Lytechinus pictus: one gene and its partners. The protein of the gene in region 1 interacts with the protein of each later gene in a pairwise test. Links are inferred from orthologs where the notes say so. Each region holds a gene or a part of one and is shown in the gene's direction. Other genes may lie near its edges.

What was found. The genes of interacting proteins can lie anywhere in the genome.
Region 2: the proteins of DAZ-associated protein 2-like (region 1) and CLK4-associating serine/arginine rich protein-like interact in a two-hybrid assay, tested with the Homo sapiens proteins (2 studies listed by BioGRID and IntAct). The link is inferred for Lytechinus pictus from reciprocal best matches to the Homo sapiens genes DAZAP2 and CLASRP.
Region 3: the proteins of DAZ-associated protein 2-like (region 1) and UBX domain-containing protein 6-like interact in binary tests that used the Homo sapiens proteins (3 or more experiments, as listed by UniProt). The link is inferred for Lytechinus pictus from reciprocal best matches to the Homo sapiens genes DAZAP2 and UBXN6.

The regions. Positions count from the first base shown.
Region 1 is NC_087247.1:61,784,128-61,791,261, forward strand, and holds the start of DAZ-associated protein 2-like, read left to right. Parts: upstream 1-4,085; 5' UTR 4,086-4,426; coding exon 4,427-4,448; intron 4,449-5,349; coding exon 5,350-5,570; intron 5,571-6,499; coding exon 6,500-6,616; intron 6,617-7,134. UniProt on the Homo sapiens protein: In unstressed cells, promotes SIAH1-mediated polyubiquitination and degradation of the serine/threonine-protein kinase HIPK2, probably by acting as a loading factor that potentiates complex formation between HIPK2 and ubiquitin ligase SIAH1.
Region 2 is NC_087251.1:20,022,563-20,029,509, reverse strand, and holds the start of CLK4-associating serine/arginine rich protein-like, read left to right. Parts: upstream 1-3,907; 5' UTR 3,908-4,069; coding exon 4,070-4,168; intron 4,169-6,947. UniProt on the Homo sapiens protein: Probably functions as an alternative splicing regulator. May regulate the mRNA splicing of genes such as CLK1. May act by regulating members of the CLK kinase family.
Region 3 is NC_087247.1:47,551,484-47,559,123, reverse strand, and holds the start of UBX domain-containing protein 6-like, read left to right. Parts: upstream 1-4,600; 5' UTR 4,601-4,974; coding exon 4,975-5,075; intron 5,076-6,323; coding exon 6,324-6,472; intron 6,473-7,640. UniProt on the Homo sapiens protein: May negatively regulate the ATPase activity of VCP, an ATP-driven segregase that associates with different cofactors to control a wide variety of cellular processes.

The DNA.
Region 1 (7,134 bases):
TTCCTGCATTAAGATTTGCGTTGAAGCACTGGCGTACGGGGGTGGTTCCACAGCCAAGGGGAAATAATAGAAAATAAAGGAGGCAGCAAAATGACATGAATGAAAAAAAATATATATGACATGATATTTGCTACGATGTAAAAATCTATCACATAATTAGAATTTCATTTTAACAGGCCATTTTTCTTTCAGGCTCGCTTCGCTCGCTGGCGACTTTTTACAAATTTTCCCACATTTGCTATGGTGTGCCCCTCACAATATTTGGATGATTACGATACACAACTGCAATTTATGTGTTGTGTAAAAGCTATATAAAATGCACGCAATTTGATTAAAATAAGTGGCCATCTGTAAGTTTTAAAATGGCTTTAATATCAAGAGGTTCCGGAGCTCTGCCCTGGACCCAACCCATAAAGCACTGTTATATGATGGATGAGTTTAGACCATGGCCCAAAAAATTCTACAACCAAACAATAAAAAATGAGGAAAGAAATGAAAGTGTATTATATTTTTCTGAATATCACGTTAAAATCTATCTTCATGTTAGATTCTCATGAATAGGTGATTTTTTTTTATCTCGCTCGCTTCGCTCGCTCGGGACCTATATTCAGCTACTTCTTGCCACAAGCGCCATAATCGGCCCCCTCGAGCATATAGAGCTTCGCCCTGATGCTCACAATCATAACAAAAATCCTGTTCACCTTGGCGAACAAAAAAGAGAGAAAAAAGGAAAGAGAGGAGAGTGTAATATGATATAATCTTTTTAACATTATGTCAAAATCTATCACAAAATTGGATTTTTGCAATAAAAATGTCAAAAATTTGTTGCTCGCTCGCATTTATATATATATTTTTGCCCGATACGCCATATCGCCCCCCTCAAAATGTTTGCCTTATGACGCCAGTGCCTGTTCCATGATATGACCGGGAAATTTTTGGCTCTTGCCCCCCTGGCCACCGACCCCTGTTACGCCGCTGTTCGGGCTAACGAACCTTCAGATCAACGAACCTTATTTCGTTTTCGGACTGATGCATGAACCTTCGGAATTACAAATCTCATTGCGTTTTCGGAATAACAAACCTTATTTTGTTCTATAGGATTAACGAAACTTCGGAAGGACGGTTCTTCGGAATAACGAATCTTTGTTATATTCGAACCTTTGGAATAACAAACTTTCGGAATTACGAATGTCAACCCGTAGAACTACCCCTTAAAAGAAACAAACAAAAATCCGCTGGATCCGCCCCTGGTTATTTTACCATTTTATACACACATTTGAATTTCACTTCTCATTTCTTGTGTTCTCCACTTGTTCTATATCATGCGCCTGCATGAATAAAGGAAATTTACATAATAAGTGATATTCAAAATAGAGTAGTAAAATAAATGGGGCACCCCCAACGTGCTTAGTTGCGGTGGGGGGGGGGGTAAATTCATGTATAAAAGCATAAACATGAACATGTTATTATATTTCATCCTGGATTTTTTTTCTCCATCCATCTGTTTGAAACAGTTTCCAAAATGAATGGTGCTTTCATTCAATAGCAATGAAAATAAGATCATTATGAGATAATTAGATATCAATGGTCATCATGCATAAATACGTTATCCATCATAACCATCATTATGATAATCTTATTATTACTGCTTAATGTTTATGTAATAATAATAATAATAATAATAATGATATCATCATCATCATCATCATTATCATTATCATTATTATTATTATCATTATATCATTAGTAGTAGTAGTAGTAGTAGTAGTAGTAGTAGTAGTAGTAGTAGTAGTAGTATTATAATTGTTCTTGTTGTTGTTGTTATTATTATTAATAATACCATACCTTAAATTATTTGGGGATGATGATTCATGACATTCCGAACTAAAAAATACATGTAGACATTTTATGATTCTAAGCACATTTTTGTAATCATGAACGGGATAGATATATCACTAATCAAGTCGTGCGAGCGCGAAGCGCGAGAGGAAAATATAGATTTCTGACCTAAAGGCCTTACTCCTCCTTTTTTTTTTTTTTTTACTAAAGTCATTATTCCTTCCCCTTGTGGTATTTTGTTCTTTCATTTCTTTTGTAAGTTTGTGACTAAACCACCTGCTGTCATTATTTCTTAATTTCTCTTTAAAGGAGAATGAAACCCTTGAAACCAGCTGAATCCATATCAAAGAGAAAAATCAAAGAAACATATTGTTGAAAGTTTGAGGAAGATTGAATGAATAATAAGAAAGTTATAAGCATTTGAATATTGAGATCAGTGGCGTAACTACGTGCCCCCCCATGCCCCCCCCCCCCCAATCGGCTGGCAAAAAAAAAAAAAAAACGGGGAAAATTAGAAAAAGAGGGAGAAAGGAAGAGAAACGCAGTGGGGAAAAAAGAAATTATGTTCATTATAAATGTTATATTATATTATAATTATGTTATATTACATAAGAAGCATGTTTTCATAACTTTATGAAACATTATTTGCTCAGGCCCTATGTCTTTATTGTTCCTGGTGCTCGCATAGACTGTTTAACGAGATATATAATCATGTTATACTAAAACCTCCCGTTTTCAAATCAATATACTGTACACCAAATATATTTCCTCGCAATTCGAGTTATTATTATTTCATGTAGTGACATTTGCTTCTTTTTCATGACTACTTAAAGTGATTGCCCGATTTAAGGTCTTAATATAAAACATTTCCTGTCTGTGCTAATGTTCGCATTAGTTATTGGTGAGATGTCTGCTCTTCATGAATTCCTAAAATCAGTCCTTAAAATGCCCATTTTTCTGATCTCAATATCAAAAATTTTCAGCTCGCGCTTCGCGCTCGCATCATTTGGTGAGTGAAATACGTACGGTCTTAGTGAATTCCTGTAAACAAGCCTTAGAATGCCCCTCTTCATGTCTGAATTTCCTAAATTTTCAGCTCGCGCTTCGCGCTCGCAGTATTTGATTAGTGAGATGCGTATAATAATCATGATTACCATGTCTACAAAAAGTGCTAAATGTGTTTAGATGTAATTCTAACAAAATCAGCAAAGGATGGCACTAGCATTAGATGACTATGCTGAGATATGTATACTCTTAATGGATTCCTAAAATACAAAAATTCCGTTTGGGGTCAATATATACAAAAATTTCAGCTCGCGCTTCGCGCTCGCATTGTTTGTTTAGCGAGGCAGGAACGTATCACGATTACAAAAAATTCGCCTATAATGTCCCTTTTTAGGTCTGAATATCAAAAATTTTCAGCTCGCGCTTCGCGCTCGCATTAAATCAGTGAGATAAATATCCGTTTAATGGCACTGCATGTCCTTAAAATGTCTCTATTAGGTCAGTATACCTGGCAACTGAGCACGCTTCGCGCGCTCCCTAAACGACTCGAAATTTTTGCTGTTGCCCCCCCCCCCAATGCCGTGACCCTCGGTACGCCACTGATTGAGATCACTAATGACATGTAGATCCTCCCATTGGCAATGCGACCAAGATCTGTGATGTCACACACGTACAACTCCCTCATTACTTTAGTACTTATTTCACTTATATATTCTCACTTTTATAGAGTCTATCACAAGGTGAGGTGTTCTCTTTATGAGAGGACAAGTACAGAGGTTTCACAACATTATATAATTGATGAATCGTTTGTCATATGATTAGAATGAGCAAAAAGAGATGTTTTGTGGTATATTTTCAGTGTCCAAAAGGGGAGAGTTGTTCATCTGTGACATCATAGATCTTCGTGGTCGCATTGCCAATGGGAGGATCTCCATAGCATTAGTGATCTCGACATTCAAATGCTCATAACTCTTCTATTGCTAGTCCTATTTTACTCAAACTTTTGTTGATCTTATTCTTTGATTTTTCTGCTTTCACAAAAGCTAACTTGCTCCAAGAGTTTCATTCTCCTTTAAAAATGAATAGTTTCTATTTCACGTGGATATGACGTCACTGGCTCGATGAACCCACAGAAATATAATACACGTTAACAATTCGTTGGATGAACCCCGTCCCAAATTTAGACGATGTGGTCATTGGGAGAGGCTTAGTCTTAGTTTTAAGCGCTTTTCAAAAATGTTATTGAAATACGACGGATAAATTAATGAAAGTCGATAATTGAATCCAAGAGAATCGTATGAATGAAACAAAAAGAAAGAAACTGTAATTTTCGTGAAAAACACTATCTAGAGTAAAAATATATTTAAAGATATAATTAGTTTTTTAAACTAATGCAGGTACATTTCAAGACTACATTACCGCACCAATTTTACGTAAACAGACAGTAGTGAGGTATAATACCAAACAGTGACAGAACTAAGTAAAATAGCGCAGAGACATCCTCTGTTGACGTCGTTAAGTTTATACCGAGCTTTTGCAACTTTCCATTATATTACGTGTATATAGATAATATAGTTCGATAATGCCTTTTGGAAAGAAGAAGGGTAAGTAAATGGGCATTCAATTCCATTTCGATATGTGTAGAAAATCAAATTGAAAGAGCCAGAGTCTGTAAGCACGTGCGATTTCTTATCCACGCAAGGATATCGGTGAAATTCAGGTTTCTGTGCTATGGGTATACATATTTCATATGGGCGTAATCGCCTTTAAATACACAGGCAAGATTATTTCCGAACATCTCGTCTGACAACTGAATGAGGAATGAAATCAGAGTCACAACAGTGGCAATTTCAATGAATCATATGCCATGTGAATCAGGACAGAACTTCAGACAGTAGTAGAGTAGGTGCAAGGCCAAAATGGGAGACTGTCTGTCTCCCATGAGAGAGATCCAAGGGCAAGACCAAGTCAATATCACTTTCATCAGAGACTTGTCTTTTAGTTTTAAAGAATTTGGGTATCCAATTTCAGAGACAGTCTCCAGTTTGGGAGACCAATTTTCTTTGTTTACATTTGCTGCAAAAGGATCACCTTGGCGGCAAGCCGGTTCCCAGTTCTCCACACGTATTATTAATTCACTGCCGAATCCAAAATGGCGAACACGAATTGCAAGACTTTTTACACAACCTTCTCATTCCCAATCTTTTACAGTATTCAACATGTTATTCCATTAATCTGCTTATTATCATGATGATCATATTGATTTGCATTAACATGGTGATCATGATAAAAAATAAGATCGTGATCATGATCATGAGAATCACAGACAGATCACCTAATTCGTCCTCATGACGAATTAAAATTCTAGTAAATTATTATTTTCAGTATCAAGTGCAAATTTGTTAGTGCTTGACATCTAGGCTAGTATTGATAAATTGTAAATTTCATGGAAGTATGTGATTGGTAATAATGGATAGTGACTATTTCTTGTTGCTTGTATTTCAGAAAAAGATGGTAAGAAGCCTTACCCCACCCAGCAGGCTGCATACCCCACACAGCAAGCAGCTTATCCTACATCAGGTGCTTATCCTGGCCAACCAGCATACAACTCACAGGTAGTTCCATCTCAACAGCCTCAGGCATACTCTGCCCCACCTCCAGGGGCTGGATACGCTGGAGCCCCACCCCCGTATTCTGCCACAGCCTCACCTCCCCCAGCATCTCAAGTAAGTTGTGATAACCAATTATACTTTCTTTAGATGTCACACTTTAATACATGTATGCACCCATTTCTGTCATAGCACACTATGACTGAAATGATATTTGTAGTATATTTCCAAAGTATGTTTGTTAAATGAAAGGCCAAAAAAAATTACAAAATATTCAATGTGAGCCACAAAATGAGAATGTTCAAAAGAAAATTATGTGATTTGTAGTATATAAGGAAGTGTATTGTAATGTATTTTTTATGTCTGGATGTGTTCAACTGCTAAAATCGTTTTCTTTGATTAATGGCATGTAATGTTACATGCATTTTATGCCAACTCACATTTTCCCAGAATTAGGCCTGTATTTCCGAGTTAATTTATTGAACAAATGCATGTGCTTGTAAATATCAAGAAAGTATGCAGGCCTGTTTTTTATTCATTACATGTAGTTATAACGTTTAAGGTAATTTTACTGAAAATTTCAACGAATGAAAGATTGGTCATACATGTACATGTACACGTAGGATAGACGGGCAAATGTATAAGTTGGAAAAACAGTGACAACTGCGGAAACATCATAAATACAAACTGAAATAAGAATTTATGTATCTAACTTAGAAAGATTGTAATTATGATGAAGAAGGAAAAGGGTGAGTTCTACTTACATGATAGATCTAAGCACTCCAATTTATTTTATTTTTAATAAAACCACTTACATTTTCATCACGATAATGATTAGATTGCAGATTTACTATTTCTTCATGAAAGCAGCTGATTTAAGTATGGAAGAACCTTTAAATAGAAAGGGCTTCCAACAAGTATTTTATTTATAATGATTCCAGATATTGGATTATTAGAATAGCCTATCACACAGACTCGTTGTTATGCAAGAAAGCACACTAGTGGAGAGATTAAAATATTGATGTATTCACATTTATTAATTACAGGCTGGTTACCCACAAGCCCCTGTGTACCAACCCCCCGCTCAAGCACAGGCAGTAGTTGTCAATGGTGGATATGATGCTGGTGCAAGATTCAACTCAAGAAATCCTCCTTCAATTCCAGTGAGTTGTTTTGATTTGTCCTGTTTTCTTATTTCTTGTTTGTTGTTGCTATTTGCTTCTATATAATATTTATGTAGTCCCACTTGACCGGGGGGGGGGGGGGGAAAGCACTTCCATTGTCCTCAAATACTTCTCAAATAGCCCAGTCCTTTTAGAGTTAAGATATTGTTAAGGGAATACTTGTCAAGGATACCGTTTTGTTTCCAATACCTGTTAAGGGGTGCATTTTCAGAACATGGAAAATACTTGTTTAGGGTGCTTTTCTAAATCCCATGGTCACGCATGGTATCCACTCGTCAATGGAAGTGCCCCCCCCCCCTCCCTGGCCCACTTGGTTGATTATATATCTTATGAAACCTTAAGGAAATTATTAAGTCGATATCAAAATTAATTTATGTACTTTTCATGTATTTCATCTTTCCACCGGTCTGCTAGAAATTGCACCTACATGTAGGCCTATGGCCCAGTCAGTTTCACTCAGCATTAATTAGGAGGCAATATTTTCACTGTTTTTTTTT
Region 2 (6,947 bases), on another chromosome or scaffold:
CCGAGGAGAAAATTTTCATTTGTGAAATTTGCATAGATTAAAGGGTACCCTGTATCCTTTGAATGCAATGAGCGTATACTGATGAAACGGCAGCTCGATCTAAATCCGGGGTAATAATATTCGCGCTGTGTAGTCTGGAAAAAACGAGACTATACCAGCAATCATTTTTTTACCTCTAAACGAGGGATTTTATGCGGCATAATTAGCTTAATATCACAATATTTTCTCCAGTAATCTCTCATCTCGTAAGATATATTGTTTGAGCAAGATACTAATAATAATCATCATCATCATTATTATTATATTCATTATTGTGTTTATTATTTATATATATATATATTAGCATCATTTACCCAGGGAAGACAGGAGGAGGAGGAGGAGGGGAAGGAGGAGGAAGAGGAGGAGGGCCGGAGGAGGAAAAGGAGGAGGGGGAGGGGAGGAGGAGGAGGCATGGGCGGAAAACCCATGCAGGGGGGACAGGGGGGACGCGTCCCCCCTACCATTTTGGAAAGGGGGGACATACTATCAAATGTCCTCCCTACTATTTGTGGTCTTTCATTATGGGAAAAAAATACATAATTCAAAATTGAAATTATACACATGTATCCTCGAATTTCGAAATATATATAAACAGATAGTTTTTGTTAAGAACTTGGGTAGGAAAAGAAAAGGCATACCGGCCCGACTATTCTCGAACTCGCATCTAGCCCTATATGCCAGCCAAAGAGTGATGACATTGATGACATCGATGGCCATTGTCAATTTCATAACTAATAAAAATGACGAAAAAAAGATAATCGCCTCTGGATACTTATAAGTAAATTTAGTGCATAGATGGTAGACGACAATGTTCCATACCTCGTAAAAACATACCTTTGTTAAACCAATTCATTTTCCCTTTATTCCAAATTTACTTGGAATATAAGAATATTTTCATTGTTCGCGTACTCAGTAAAAATAATAGTTTTCATGAGTTATGATTAATCCTTCGCAGTGAATTTTAACTATGTTTAATCCCCCAAAATTTGTTTTAAATACTCTATTAACGAGACTTTTATATTCAATTTTTACACAAAATTCCTGCCGTGGGAGGGGTCATCATAGGTAGATCAAGGGGCGAAGCGGCGGCCCGCCCCCTATTGGGGCGGCGCAAAATAGGAAGGTGAGGAGAAAAATAAGAAGAAAGATAGGACGAGGAAGAAAATTAAATGGTGGAAGGGGAGGGGAATAATTGAAAAAAAAAAGCTTTCAGGTCATAGTATAAAGATTAAAAAATCGCTCGCGCTTTGCATTAATACACAGCCATCTCATTATTTCAAAACGTGCTTAAATTTTTTCACTTTTTAGATCGAAATATATAAAATCAAATCATTTATTTACTAGGAAGATATCCATCTTTTTCATAATTTGTAGGCTTAAATCTTTAAAAAAAAATAGCTCACACTTTGCGCTCGCATTGCTTATTGAGATAAGCTGCTTGTTCTTAATTTCAAAAGTGCTTGAAAGATCCAGTTTTCAGATCTGAATATTAAAAAAAATTTCGCGCTTCACGCTCGCATCAGTAATATTATGGTTGAGTCAGATACTATCCTGTTTATTGCTATAAGGTGAAAAGAAGATGACTTTTTGGTCGGAAAATTAAAAAAGATCAGGATACGCTTCGCGCTCACATTAATTAAAATTTAGTTAGATAGCTACCCTGTCCTTGATTTTAAAATATGCTAATGTACCAATTTTTAGGCCGGAAATGACATCTTCAGCACACACTTCGCGCTCGAATCTATATTTTTAGTAAAATTCATAACCTGTTCATGATTTGAAAATGTGTTATGATTGTCCAGTTTTTAGGTTGGAAAATACAAACTTTCAGCTCGCGCTACGCGCCTGCATTAATTATTTAGATTCCTATCCTGTTCATAATTGAAAAAAAGTACTAAGAATGTCCAGTATTTAGGTTGGAAAATCAAAAACTTTCACCTCTTGCTTCACGCTCGCATTAATTGTTTAGATACCTATCCTGTTCATTAATTTTTTTTTTAAGTACTAAGAATGTCTATAGTATTTAGGTTGGAAAATCAAAAACTTTCAGCTCGCGCTCGCGTTAATATTATTGATTAGATTCCTATCCTGTTCATATTCTTTTTAAGGTGCTATATGAATGTCCAGTTTTTAGGTTGGAAAAAAAACTTTCAGCTCGCGCTTCGCGCTCGCATTCATTGTTTAGATTCCTATTCCGTTCATTATTAAGTGCTAAGAATGTCAAGTTTTTATGTTGGAAAATAAAAAACGATTAGCTCGCGTTTAACGCTCGCATTAATTGTTTGCATTCATATCCTGTTCATATTCTTTTTAAAGTGCTATGAATGTCCAGTTTTTAGGTTGGAAAATCAAAAACTGTCAGCTCGCGCTTCACGCTCACATTAATTGTTTAGATTCCTATCCTGTTCATGATTTTTATAAAACTGTTAAGAATGTCCAGTTTTTAGGTTGGAAAATAAAAAACTTTCAGCTCGCGCTCGCATCTATTATTTAGTTGAATTCCTATTCTGTTAATGATTTGCAAAAGTGTTACGAATGTCTAGTTTTTAGGTTGGAAAATCAAAAACTTTCAGCTCGCGCTTCGCGCTCACATTAATGGTTTAGCTTCTAGGTTCTAGTTCATGATCACAAAAATGTTCAGAATGTTCAATTTCCAGGTCACAATTTATGAAATATCAACATATTTGGACTCGCGCTCGCATAATTTTATTGAGGCCTTTCATCTTTAGTTAGGAATACCTCCCCTCTTCGAAATATGTATAGTCACGTATTGTATTACCGGACACCATTGTGATTCCGGACGCGCATATAAATGCGTTCGAAAACAATTTCGTACCGTAAGACTTTCACAATTCATTTTCACAGATCAATATACATAGAACAAGATTGCAAAAACAAGGCGAAAAAATCAAACTTTTACCTTATTTATCTCTAAAATGACAGAAAATGCTTAAAATATCATATAACATAGTTTTACATTAACAATTTATATATTTTCTAACGGAAATATGGGCCTGATTCAGTGCCGAATGTCAATCTCGTCGGCTCCTTCGATCGAATGATGAGGTGAGGTGTATTGTGGGTGATCGTCGACGGCTAGTTCTCAAGGTACCGTGCGCGAGGTTTACCGTGAGTAGAGCCGTCGACGATCGGCAGCGCATCGATAGAACTTGATGAGCGTCACGATACGAACGAGCACTGGAAAGTGCCATGAAACATGCAGCTAACCAAAAAATAAAAAATAAATTAAGTTATCAAACACGAATTTATTACCAACATCTGCTCAGATTCGATATAAAAAAAGCAAACAAAAAGTTAGAATTTATTCATGATATGATATAAGAAGAAAAAAAAATCACAGAAATTTGTTCTTACATCATTATAATCAAGGATATCTTCACCCGTCTGGCGCGCGTCCGGAATCATGATGTAATTTGTCGCGCACGAAAATAATTGTTTTTCGTGGAGGGGTATGCGGCAAGTGTGATGCAAAGAAAATGGTTGGTAAATATCAAATAATTTTATCATATTAATAATTTTCATATAATATTTGGAATAGCAAGTGCGATTTTTTCTTGATTGTATTTCCTCTAGTTGTCATTTTTAAAGCACTGAAATAAAGGTGTCCGGCAATAGGATACACTGCCATATATATATATATATATATATATATATATATGTATATATATGTGTGTGTGTATGTGTGTGTGTGTGTTTGAGTTAGTAATTCTGTAGAACATAAAAACAGAAACTGAATTGTGTCTCCCCCCCCCCTACCTTCAAGGAGAGATTTCCGCCCATGGGAGGAGGAGGAGGAGAAGGAAGGCCGGAGAAGAATATACCGGTAAGACTGAGTCAGGTTTGAGTCTAGCGCCATCTCTTGCTCTAGATCTATATACCGCGGCGGTACGTAAAATAAAAAAAACCGAAGTTGGTGAGAAATATGGCGCTTGTTTGCAACATTTAGAATCGTTGAAGTGAACTTTGTTTAGGTTTTTCAGCTTTCCATCAGAAACACATAAACATCAGTATGTGGCACGAAGCAAGGAGGCAAGAACGGTTAATCCGTGGAATGATGGTAGATTACAAGAAAAGAGCAGAGAGGCGTCGAGAATACTACGAAAAAATCGTAAGTAGACTACGGTACCGTACCGGTACCGGTACGTAGATGTAGGACTCTAGGAGTGAGGACTAGCGCCGCGCCCCGACCCGTAAGGCCTTAAGTTAGAGTTAGACTTCACTCGGACTATTGGGAGAATCTCGGCCGGGGGCCGATTGCACGAAAGGGTCTTTCCAAATCCAAGGACCGTCTTTCGTGTCGCCCATCTTTTATGATGCGCTATAAGCGGGGTGTTTCTGAAATTTATGATAAACAAATAAAATTCGTAAGCTTGCTTTTAAATCAAATTTTATACAATTTCATGAGATATCACATCATTTTATAAACAAATATTTTGTTTATTTTAACGAACAAATAAAATATATTTGCAGATAATTTATTTGAAATGCGATTCACATGGCATATCATAAAAGATGGGCGACACGAAAGACGGTCCTTGGAAAGACCCTTTCGTGCAATCGGCCCCTGAGTTCCGGCGTCCAGCATGTCCAGCTAACCCAGGCCAGGGCAGGTTATAGCCTAACCCAGGGAGCGCCGGCCCGCGCGAAGCGGGCCGGCGCCCAGGAGCTCACCGTGTATTTACCCATACTCACGGGACAAGGGTAGGGCCTAGATTATGGTCAAAATATCTAGCAAGATAAATTGTGAAAACAGAAATTATGCACTTACCACAATTATAATATGGATGAAGGTCTATCGAGTGGTAGAATCCTGACATCGAGACACAGACTGGGCGAACCTCAAAAAACGAAAAGTTCTCTCCTACCCCAGTCTCGATCGGCCATTTTTGTTATGAATATGATTATGAATCATAACAAAATGGCCGATCCAGACTGGGGTAAAAGGAGAGAACTTTTCTTTTTTTGAGGTTCCAGTCTGTGCCTCGATGTCAGGATTCTACCACTCGATAGACCTTCATCCATATAATCGTGGTAAGTGCATAATTTCTGTTTTTACAATTTATCTTGTTAGATATTTTGACCATAATCTACCCTTGTCCCGTGAGTATGGGTAAATATACCTCATCGCTGATCGATCGCGATCGCATGCGATGTTTTGAAATAGGCTGTGAATAATATGTGTGAGGAAAAAGATACTGGCCCAAAATCACCAATTTTGAGGATAACCGTAGGATGGACACGGAGTAAAATACGGGTGCAGAGTAAGATATTAAGTCATTCATATCCCTCGTTATAATTTTTTTCTTTAATTTTTACGATACCCATAATTGCCATCCCACCTTTTATGACTCGGAATATCCGATCTAGTTCACTGTCCCGATGTTCGGGTAGGTGGAGGGTAGTGTAGCGGTAGTGAAGTGGAGTGGAGCCTGCACGAACATCGCCTGAGGTAGGGTAAATACACGGTGAGCTCCTGGGCGCCGGCCCGCTTCGTGGGCTGTCGCTCCCTGGGTTAGTTATAGCCTTGTCCTTGAGGACTCCATGATGATGTTTTTTAATATTTTGACATATACTTCTTCATCATGGAGCCTTGACACTCTTCCCATAGACGCAGAAGCGAGACCTGACACCCGGATGGATTTCCCTAGGTAGAAATCCATAGACCATGTAGGCTATTAGTATAAATTAGATTCCTCTACACAATAGAGGAAGTTCTGTAACTAGAACTTGGATTGCAGGTCATGCTGAAATTCATGGAAATGTAATTGCAGACAGACTGGCAAAGGAGGCTGCTTACCATGCACGCAATGCTCCACCTCCCTCTTCATCCACTTCATATGCAAGTATCACCAAGAACATCAAGAAGAACACTGTAAGACTCTGGCAAAGGCGATGGAATATAACCACCAAGGGTAGATGGACCTATCAGCTTCAGCCAAATGTTACTAGAAAGAAAGCCTCCAGTAAATATGAAAGGTCAACAAAGGTCAAGATCATGAGGATGCTAACTGGACAGACTAAGCTCAGAGACCATATGCACAGAGTACTCCCTCGTGTATGCCCTACACCCACATACAACTGTGAACATGACAGGCAGACAATTGAACATGTCCTTCTTCACTGCCCACTCCACAAGTCGCATAGAGAGGAGATGATGCAATCCATTGACGTTGGATATCAAAGGACAAGCACCCCCTCCTATCTTCGAGATATATCCCTCTTTTCCCTCCTTGGGACTAACCCCTAATTGTCACCCCAAATGCAATCTATAATAGCATCTTCTTTGGCTCGCTTCATCAAAAGCACCAATGCCAACTAGCACCAGTATCTAAGCAAATAGTACCTAGCAGCTCATCAACCTTGTGACAGACACACTGAGAGTATACCGAGGAGATCATTTGGGTGTGGAAACGACCCACAACAAACAACAACAACAACAACATAAATTAGACATAACGTTAGAGGGTGAAATCGTTTTGTACAGGGGAATTTTATTGATATTTGAACCTTCAAACTCCTAATGCATATGAAGGTTCCAAAATTTGGTTAATAAAAAAGAGAAACTTTTAAGGTTTATTACCAGACCGATCTCGTGTAGATCCCTCGATCCGTTTGTCAACAAAGCAAATACAATACTAGGTCTGACCCTTGAATCGCTTCGTTATGACGTGCACTCGTTTAGCGATGTTACAAAATGCCGTTTTGAAGAACAATTTATAGATACAAATTATTATTTAACAAATACTTAAATTTAATACGTGATTATAAACAATTTATAGATACAAATTATTATTTAACAAATACTAAAATTTAATACGTGATTATAAATTATTATTTATAATCACGTATCAAATTTTAGTATTTGATTAATAATAATTTGTATCTAT
Region 3 (7,640 bases), about 14 Mb from region 1:
TGCCTGTGTGCGCGGTTTCGAAATTACTCAACATTTTGTTCGTGCATGTAGGACCCAAAATTGCTCAAAAACGTGATTCCATGTACAAGGTCAATGCAAATTGTGTTTTTCAACCAAAAGTCATAAATGTATGATTATTTTTTACTTTTGTTTGATCAAATAGATTTATTTCATGCTATTTATGATCGCAAAAGAGTCCCGACAAAGTTCATCGAAAAAACAAAGGTTAAAAAAAACAAAGAAATACAAATAAAAAAACAAAAAATGCATAAGAAATTACATTTTTGGCAATTTTTGGTGGATATTTGTTATAAATGTGAAAATTGATACTCTCACCAAAAATTAGCATTCTACTAGCTTAATAAATATGGTTAAAGGCAAAAAAAAAATTTAGGGCAAATTTCATATGCTTATTTGCATAATTGATTAATGAAAAAAATATAAATAATTAATTTTTGTCTTGTAAATTTGATGCAGAAGTACATGAAATTGCTGATAGTACACTTAATTGCATGTAAAATCGAACGCACCCAAATACGCGGAATTCTACTACACAGTGTGCTTGCGTGAGTGGCTGTATAATAGAAAACATAAAGTTCAACAAATCCACACTTTAAATATTTTGAACTTGAAAAAATAAAGCAAATAGGCTAAAACCATGTAATATTACAGTTTTAAGTAGTTTTAGTATAATTCTTAATTGACCATGCAGTGTTCCAACGTACCCCATACCATGTTCCAACTTACCCCGTATTGGGGTAAGTTGGAACGTTTGCGATGGTCTTGTTCAAGGTGGATTTTTTTCAGTAACCATAATAGAGTTGAAAATTTTATGGGGTACATTATTTTGAAGCCCTTAGATATATGCTTCAAGCTGATATATTGATTGTTTCTCGAATAAAATCTATTTGGATTTTACAGCCATTTTGTCAAAAATGTGCCAATTAACCCCGGTCTCCCCTATGTCGCGAATTTTGTCTCAAAAGTTGCGCGAGACCTCAAAAAAAAAGTCATAAAATTTTGCGGTGCTATCTTTTTTTGCGTTTTGGAAATATTGCACGAAACGTTGAGGGGGAGCATCATGCCCCCAGTCATTTAAGGGTTAAACAGGCTTAAACATCACCATCTCAAAGACGTGCACCATGGCTAGAACCTCGGACCTCTGCATCAGTTAATTTATACTTCCTCCATGTATTACAGGCGCACGCCACAATGCAGCACCCAGAAGATATTGTAGGCACTATTATTTCATAAACTATATAAAATATGTTGTGATCATAAACTAATCAACGTTTCGGTGGTGCGTTTCTCTCGGTTAAGAGTTGGCCCCTATGATAAACATTTGACCTTTAGCGGTGTTGATCTAGGCCTACATGAATGATGTTGGTGATGATGATGATTATGGTGGTGATGGTGGTGGTGAAGAAGATGATGATGATGACGATGATGATGATGATGACGACGATGATGATTATGGTGGTGGTGATGGTGGTGGTGGCGGTGAAGATGATGGTGGTGATGATGATAATGATAATGATGGTGATGATGATGACGATGATGATGATGATGATCGTGGTGGTGGTGGTGGTGGTGAAGATGATGGTGATGATGATTATGCTGGTGGTGGTGGTGAAAATGATGGTGATGATGATGATGATGATGATGACTATGATGATTATGGTGGTGGTGGTGAAGATTATGGTGAAGATGATTGTGATGATGATTATGGTGGTGATGATGATAATGATGAGGATGGTGATGATGATGATGATGATGATCGTGGTGGTGGTGAAGATGATGATGATGATGATGATGACGATGAATATGGTGGAAGCGGTGGTGGTGAAGATGATGATGACGATGATGAAGATGATGATGATGATCTTGGTGGTGGTGGTGGTGAAGATGATGGTGAAGACGATGGCGATGATGATTATGGTGGTGATGATGATAATGATGATGGTGATGATGATGATCGTGGTGGTGGTGGTGGTGAAAATGATGGTGATGATGATTATGCTGGTGGTGGTGGTGGTGGTGGTGGTGAAGATGATGATGATGATGATGACGATGATGATGATGATGATGATTATGGTGGTGGTGGTGGTGAAGATTATGGTGAAGATGATGGTGATGATGATTATGGTGGTGATGATGATGATAATGATGATGATGATGATTATGATGATGATGATTATGGTGATGGTGGTGGTGGTGATTATGGTCTGATGATGACGATGATGATAATGATGATGATGATGAAAAATTCAATTCAATTTAACATGATTTTTAATTTCAAAATTTTCAACAGATACATATTATACGAGATAATAATCTCTATATATTTCTTGATATTTTGAATAAGGACAGGTGTCGCTCTGTCACTAGTTATTGACTCCGGAGAGCTCAAGATGTCAGTAGGTTCTCAATAGGAGGGGATAGAAATGCCTGTATTCTGAACTCAGGTTTAAATTACACCGTGATTTAAAGTTGTGGTTTAACTATGGAGAGCCCATTGGGGCACAAATCCTTAACAGCACACATCCAATTTATTAACTCATTTGACACTAAAATTATCCATAATTGTCTATGAATGATATCTGAAGTATTTCCTTCATTATGAAAGCAAAAGAAAACAAAATAGTAAAGATAAGAAAAAATGTATTATTAACAGGATTTACAATTTTTTGGCATCCCATAATTTTAGAACAGAGTAACACGTTAGACCGTGGTCAAAGTTAAACCCGAATTCAGAAACCGGGCCATATATATATATATATATAAAGGAAGAGAGCCCTTTGCACAACGTGTGTTGCAGTGCTAATCCAGGCATTGACGATTTTATTTGTATGGTTTTATGGTTTTGTTCTATTTTGTTTGTTTCAATACATAATGGCCTGATGAAGGCCCTACTGGCCGAAAGCTAGCATTAAATGAGATACCTTGAAAACTACGTCTAGCTTCAATGCCTGGATTATTTTACGCCTATATATATATGTGTGTATATATATATATAAATATATATATATATATTATAAGCATATATATTATCATAACCATATATATCATTATGACCTTAGTTCTCATATTGAAAACTTTATATTACATTTTTATCAATGATAAGAAAATGATCATTGAATTTGTTACGATACTGCAACAAATAACAATGAAAATTTAGTTTTAAATTTGATTTCCTTTTTTTATTACAGGAAATATAATTAACCATACACAAACAAATAAAAAATAATAATGGTTTTACGTCTCTTGAAGTGTCAGATGCACAATCCAAGGTTAAGATAGTATATCCAAATTAAATCCCAGTTGGTTGGCGAAGATTCCTTAAATTAAAGTTCACAATGATGGCGATGATGAAATCGATGTTGAAGCACGATGAATAACAAGAGTCACTGTAACATGTTGAAATGTCCATGAAGACGATGTTGATGATGATTAACAGTCAATTTCAGCAATCCATGGGTTGAAAAGCGTTCATTAAAACAGGTTGATGATCTCGATGAGAACTGAGAATTCCTCTCTCAAAAAAAAACTGCAAACAGTTCATTGATGGCGTGCAAATAATACCACAGAGGATAAATATTCCGGTTGGAAATAAACTCTGCTCTGACATAAAGTCTGGTGTGAAACTCTGAGTTCTGATCTGATATGATGTAATGATGTCCTTGAAGAAACTGTCAGCTTATATACAAATTATTTACTATTATGGAAGCTTCTAGTATTGTCTACAAAAAGAACATTCTGCCAATTTCTAGAGCAGTCTAATTTTAGAACATTCTTGAATGACCTCAGTGAAATAAACAACATAGCTAATCCTATTGTTCATTACCACAACCACTTGGAATCTCTTTGTGTTGCAGTCTCTATTCAGAAATAACAAAATTCCTCGGCCTATTAAAGAACATTCATGAGTAACAAAGCTTTAGTGAGACATGTTGGAATATTCTTAATCATTCTATGCTATGAATATCCTTAAAGAGGAAATAACTTAATAAATGAATGTAATTGCTCTTACAATTCCTCTTATAACAAATTCAATGTAAACCATTATTGATACTATATGACGGTATTAATCTTAGCATTATAATTAATCGTGTTGAATATATTGAAAAGAGATGGGGCATGGGCAAATGTGTGTTAGAACATAAACGGATGACTTGCTTTGTATATATTCAATTCAGTTCAATTCAATTCAATCTTTATTCTATTTCCAGTCAAAACATAATACAAAGTAATATAAAGTAATATAAATCAAGTACAATTTTACAGATGAGCATTCTTACTTCATATATATATATATATATATATATATATATATATATATATATATATATATATATATATATATGTACATAACGAATCCATCAATCAATGTGATATATTTTTGTTTTGCTTTGTTTTGTCATTCCATTTTGCTACTTATCACTTCCTTTTATTATACAGCAAACATTATTCTTTGAAAATACAAGTAACATTTGGTGCATTCATTGTATCATTCAATTATTATTTGTGTGATATGTATCCAGTGGCGGAATATGGGATCCAGGATTTGAAACGGAGGGGGCGCAACCAACAAATGTTGGGCGCAGATTAAATTTTTCATAGACGGATTTAGCTAAATTAATGTTCAATGGGCAATTTTCTAGGGGACGAACGCCCCTTGCGGGGGTCCGACTAACTTTACATCTGACACTGTGCTGTGGATCCTAAAATAGATCCCCCCCAATTTTCAAGCCGCTTGCTTTTCTATGTTGTTTGATCCGCCAGTTTTATGATATACTTACTCTACTCTCTTGTGATATTTACCTAAACTGAATTGAATTAATTTACTCTAGCCGGCTTCGACTCGAGATGTTGGCGCTGTTTATTGTTTACATCTAATGTTACGTTAGACCCTATGAATATTATCTGATTCATCTCTCGTTTTGTTGGCTGCCGTTTCGAAATTTATTGTTCAAAATGAAGAAGATTGGGGAATTCTTCGACAAAAAGAAAACGGATATGAAATTCAAGAGAGCTGGTCATGGAGTAAAATTGAACGAAAGTACGCCACAGCCCAGGTATTTGCTATTTAATATTTAATTGAACTAACGGTTAGACTAAAACTATTTTTTGTTCTTTCGAACTTTGCATGACACGGTTTGCCATTTATGGGACTACACCATTTTTCAGTCGTTGCCCTTTGGCTTTGCTTATGTTATGGCATATGCTAAACAGCTGGCAGCCGTCTGTTTCGAGGAGTTAAAAAAAAATTATTTCTCTTGAACACAGACGGCTCGCTATCAGTATCGTGTAGCCACGATACCTTTTTCAAGTGACCAAAATATTTCATATGCGAAGAGGGGTCCGATTGGAAGCTGAAATCGTAAAAAGGAAAAACGATTTCGGCAAAATTTTTACATAACCTATATTTTGTAGGTACCGGTTATTGTGTATTTATCGTGAAATTTTGGTGAATTTTATGAGAATAATGTGTTTGATATAATTGAATTCATGAAAAGTGTTCGGTAATACAATCCACTATACCATACCAAAGTAAAGATTATTATTCCGTTCTGGCCCGAAATGCACCAAAACGGGAAAAAATAAACTTAAAAGGGGAAAAAAACAGTGACTTCGGCTGTCGCGCAACTCCCACTTCTCTGGTTGATCCGAATAACCAATACAATACACCTGTACAGATCGAGCTAGAACTTCGGTCTCTGTATTTGGTGAGTGGAGCCAACGGAGTTGATTCAGCGGAGCAACCAACATAACAGAGACCGAAGCTTTTGGTCTAAGCTAGGCAGGCATAATATGCCATAGTAATAAGCAAAATAGTACGATTAAAAATGGATTTCTAAAATTCCATAACAAGATTCAGTTGAATTGTTACTTACAGCTAGGCCTATACAGTTACTAATACTAATTACTAAATAGAAATTGAAGGAGGCTATATTCTCATGCCATGAATAAGAATTCTAGACCCAGGCCCTATGACATGTCTTGACTTGACCGATTCCCACCAAATTTGGGCTGTGGGGGTTTTCATCATGCTCAGCCAAAATATGGTATAAAAAAAAGTGACATGCAAAAATGGAAAATTGATGACGTCACACTTCAATACAGTAGATGATTATAAATCGCTTTTGGACACAAAACTTCCATTTATCCAATCTTTTTCCATTCAAAATATCAACTTCAAATTCCAAGGGCAGGCATAGAACTCATTTCAGTCTAAAATCTAATCTATTAAATATTATTCAATCCTGTTTTATATTTGACGAGATATGTTTTATTCTAAATTCTTTTCCTTTTTTTCCATCCAGTACATCTGGTCAATCTAAACCAGTAGCCCCAAGAATGCAGCCTACTACTAGTTCTCAGATGGCAGGCCAGGCAGCACTGAGTAGACTTACTCCAGGTCCTGGTGCAGCAAGACCAGGATCAGCAGCTTCAGCATCAGTCAAAGCACAGGGTATACATCTAGTCACGTATTGTATTACTGGACACTTATCATGATTCCAGACGTGTACATGTATATTGCATACTCAACGATTTCGTACCGTAAGACTTCAGCATTTCAATTTTTCAACAGAGCAATACATGGAACAAGATTTCAAAGTCGAAAAAAATCTAACTTTTTCCTTATTTATCTCTAAAATGACAGATAATGCTTAAAATATCATACAGCATAGTTTTGCATTAACAATTGATATATTTTCTGACGGAATTTTTGGCCTAATTTGCCAAATTTCAATCTCATCTGTGCCTTCGATCGAATGTTGACGTGTGGTGTATTGTGGGTGATCGTCGACGGCTAGACTCCAGGTTATACTGTGCGTGATGTTTAACGTGAGTATAGCCATCGACGGCGCATGGATAGAACTTGATAAGCATCACGATATGAACGAGCATAATATTGGAAAGCTAACAAGAAAAAATAGAATTCGTTAGATCTAGAAAACACAAATTTATTACCAACATCTGCTCAGATTCGATATGAAAAAAGCAATCAAAACTTAGAGTTTACGCATGATGTGATACATAAAAAAATTATCACACAAATTCTTTCTTACATCATTATTAGACAAGAATATCTTCACCCTTCTCCCTTTTGTCACCCGTCCGGAATCATGATGTAATTTGTCACACACGAAAATAATTGTTTTTCGTGGAGGGGTATGCGGCAAGTGCGATGCAAATAAAATGGTTGGTAAATATCAAATAATTTACCATATTCATAATTTTCCTGATATTTGGAATAGCAAGTGTGAATTTGTCTTGATTGCATTTCCTCTAATTGTCATTTGTAAAACACTGAAATAAAGGTGTCTGGCAATAGGATACACTACCATGTGTTGTCAATCAGGTGGTGTAATGGTCATATGAATTCTCTGCTTGTGCGCCTTAATTAAAGATCAAGTCTAGCCCAAGAGCAGGTTAATTGAATAAATAGATTTCATCAAAATCAAATGGAAAATGAAAAAAAAATTGCTTATTTTGACAAAATATGCACAGCATAGATGCTAGTGAGAAAGTCTATATGTCACACGCTCGCTTTTTGAAAAAAAAAATTATTATAGGATTTATCAATTTTCTTTTAGTAGATAAATTTCACATTTTTAAATATTTGGATATTTTTT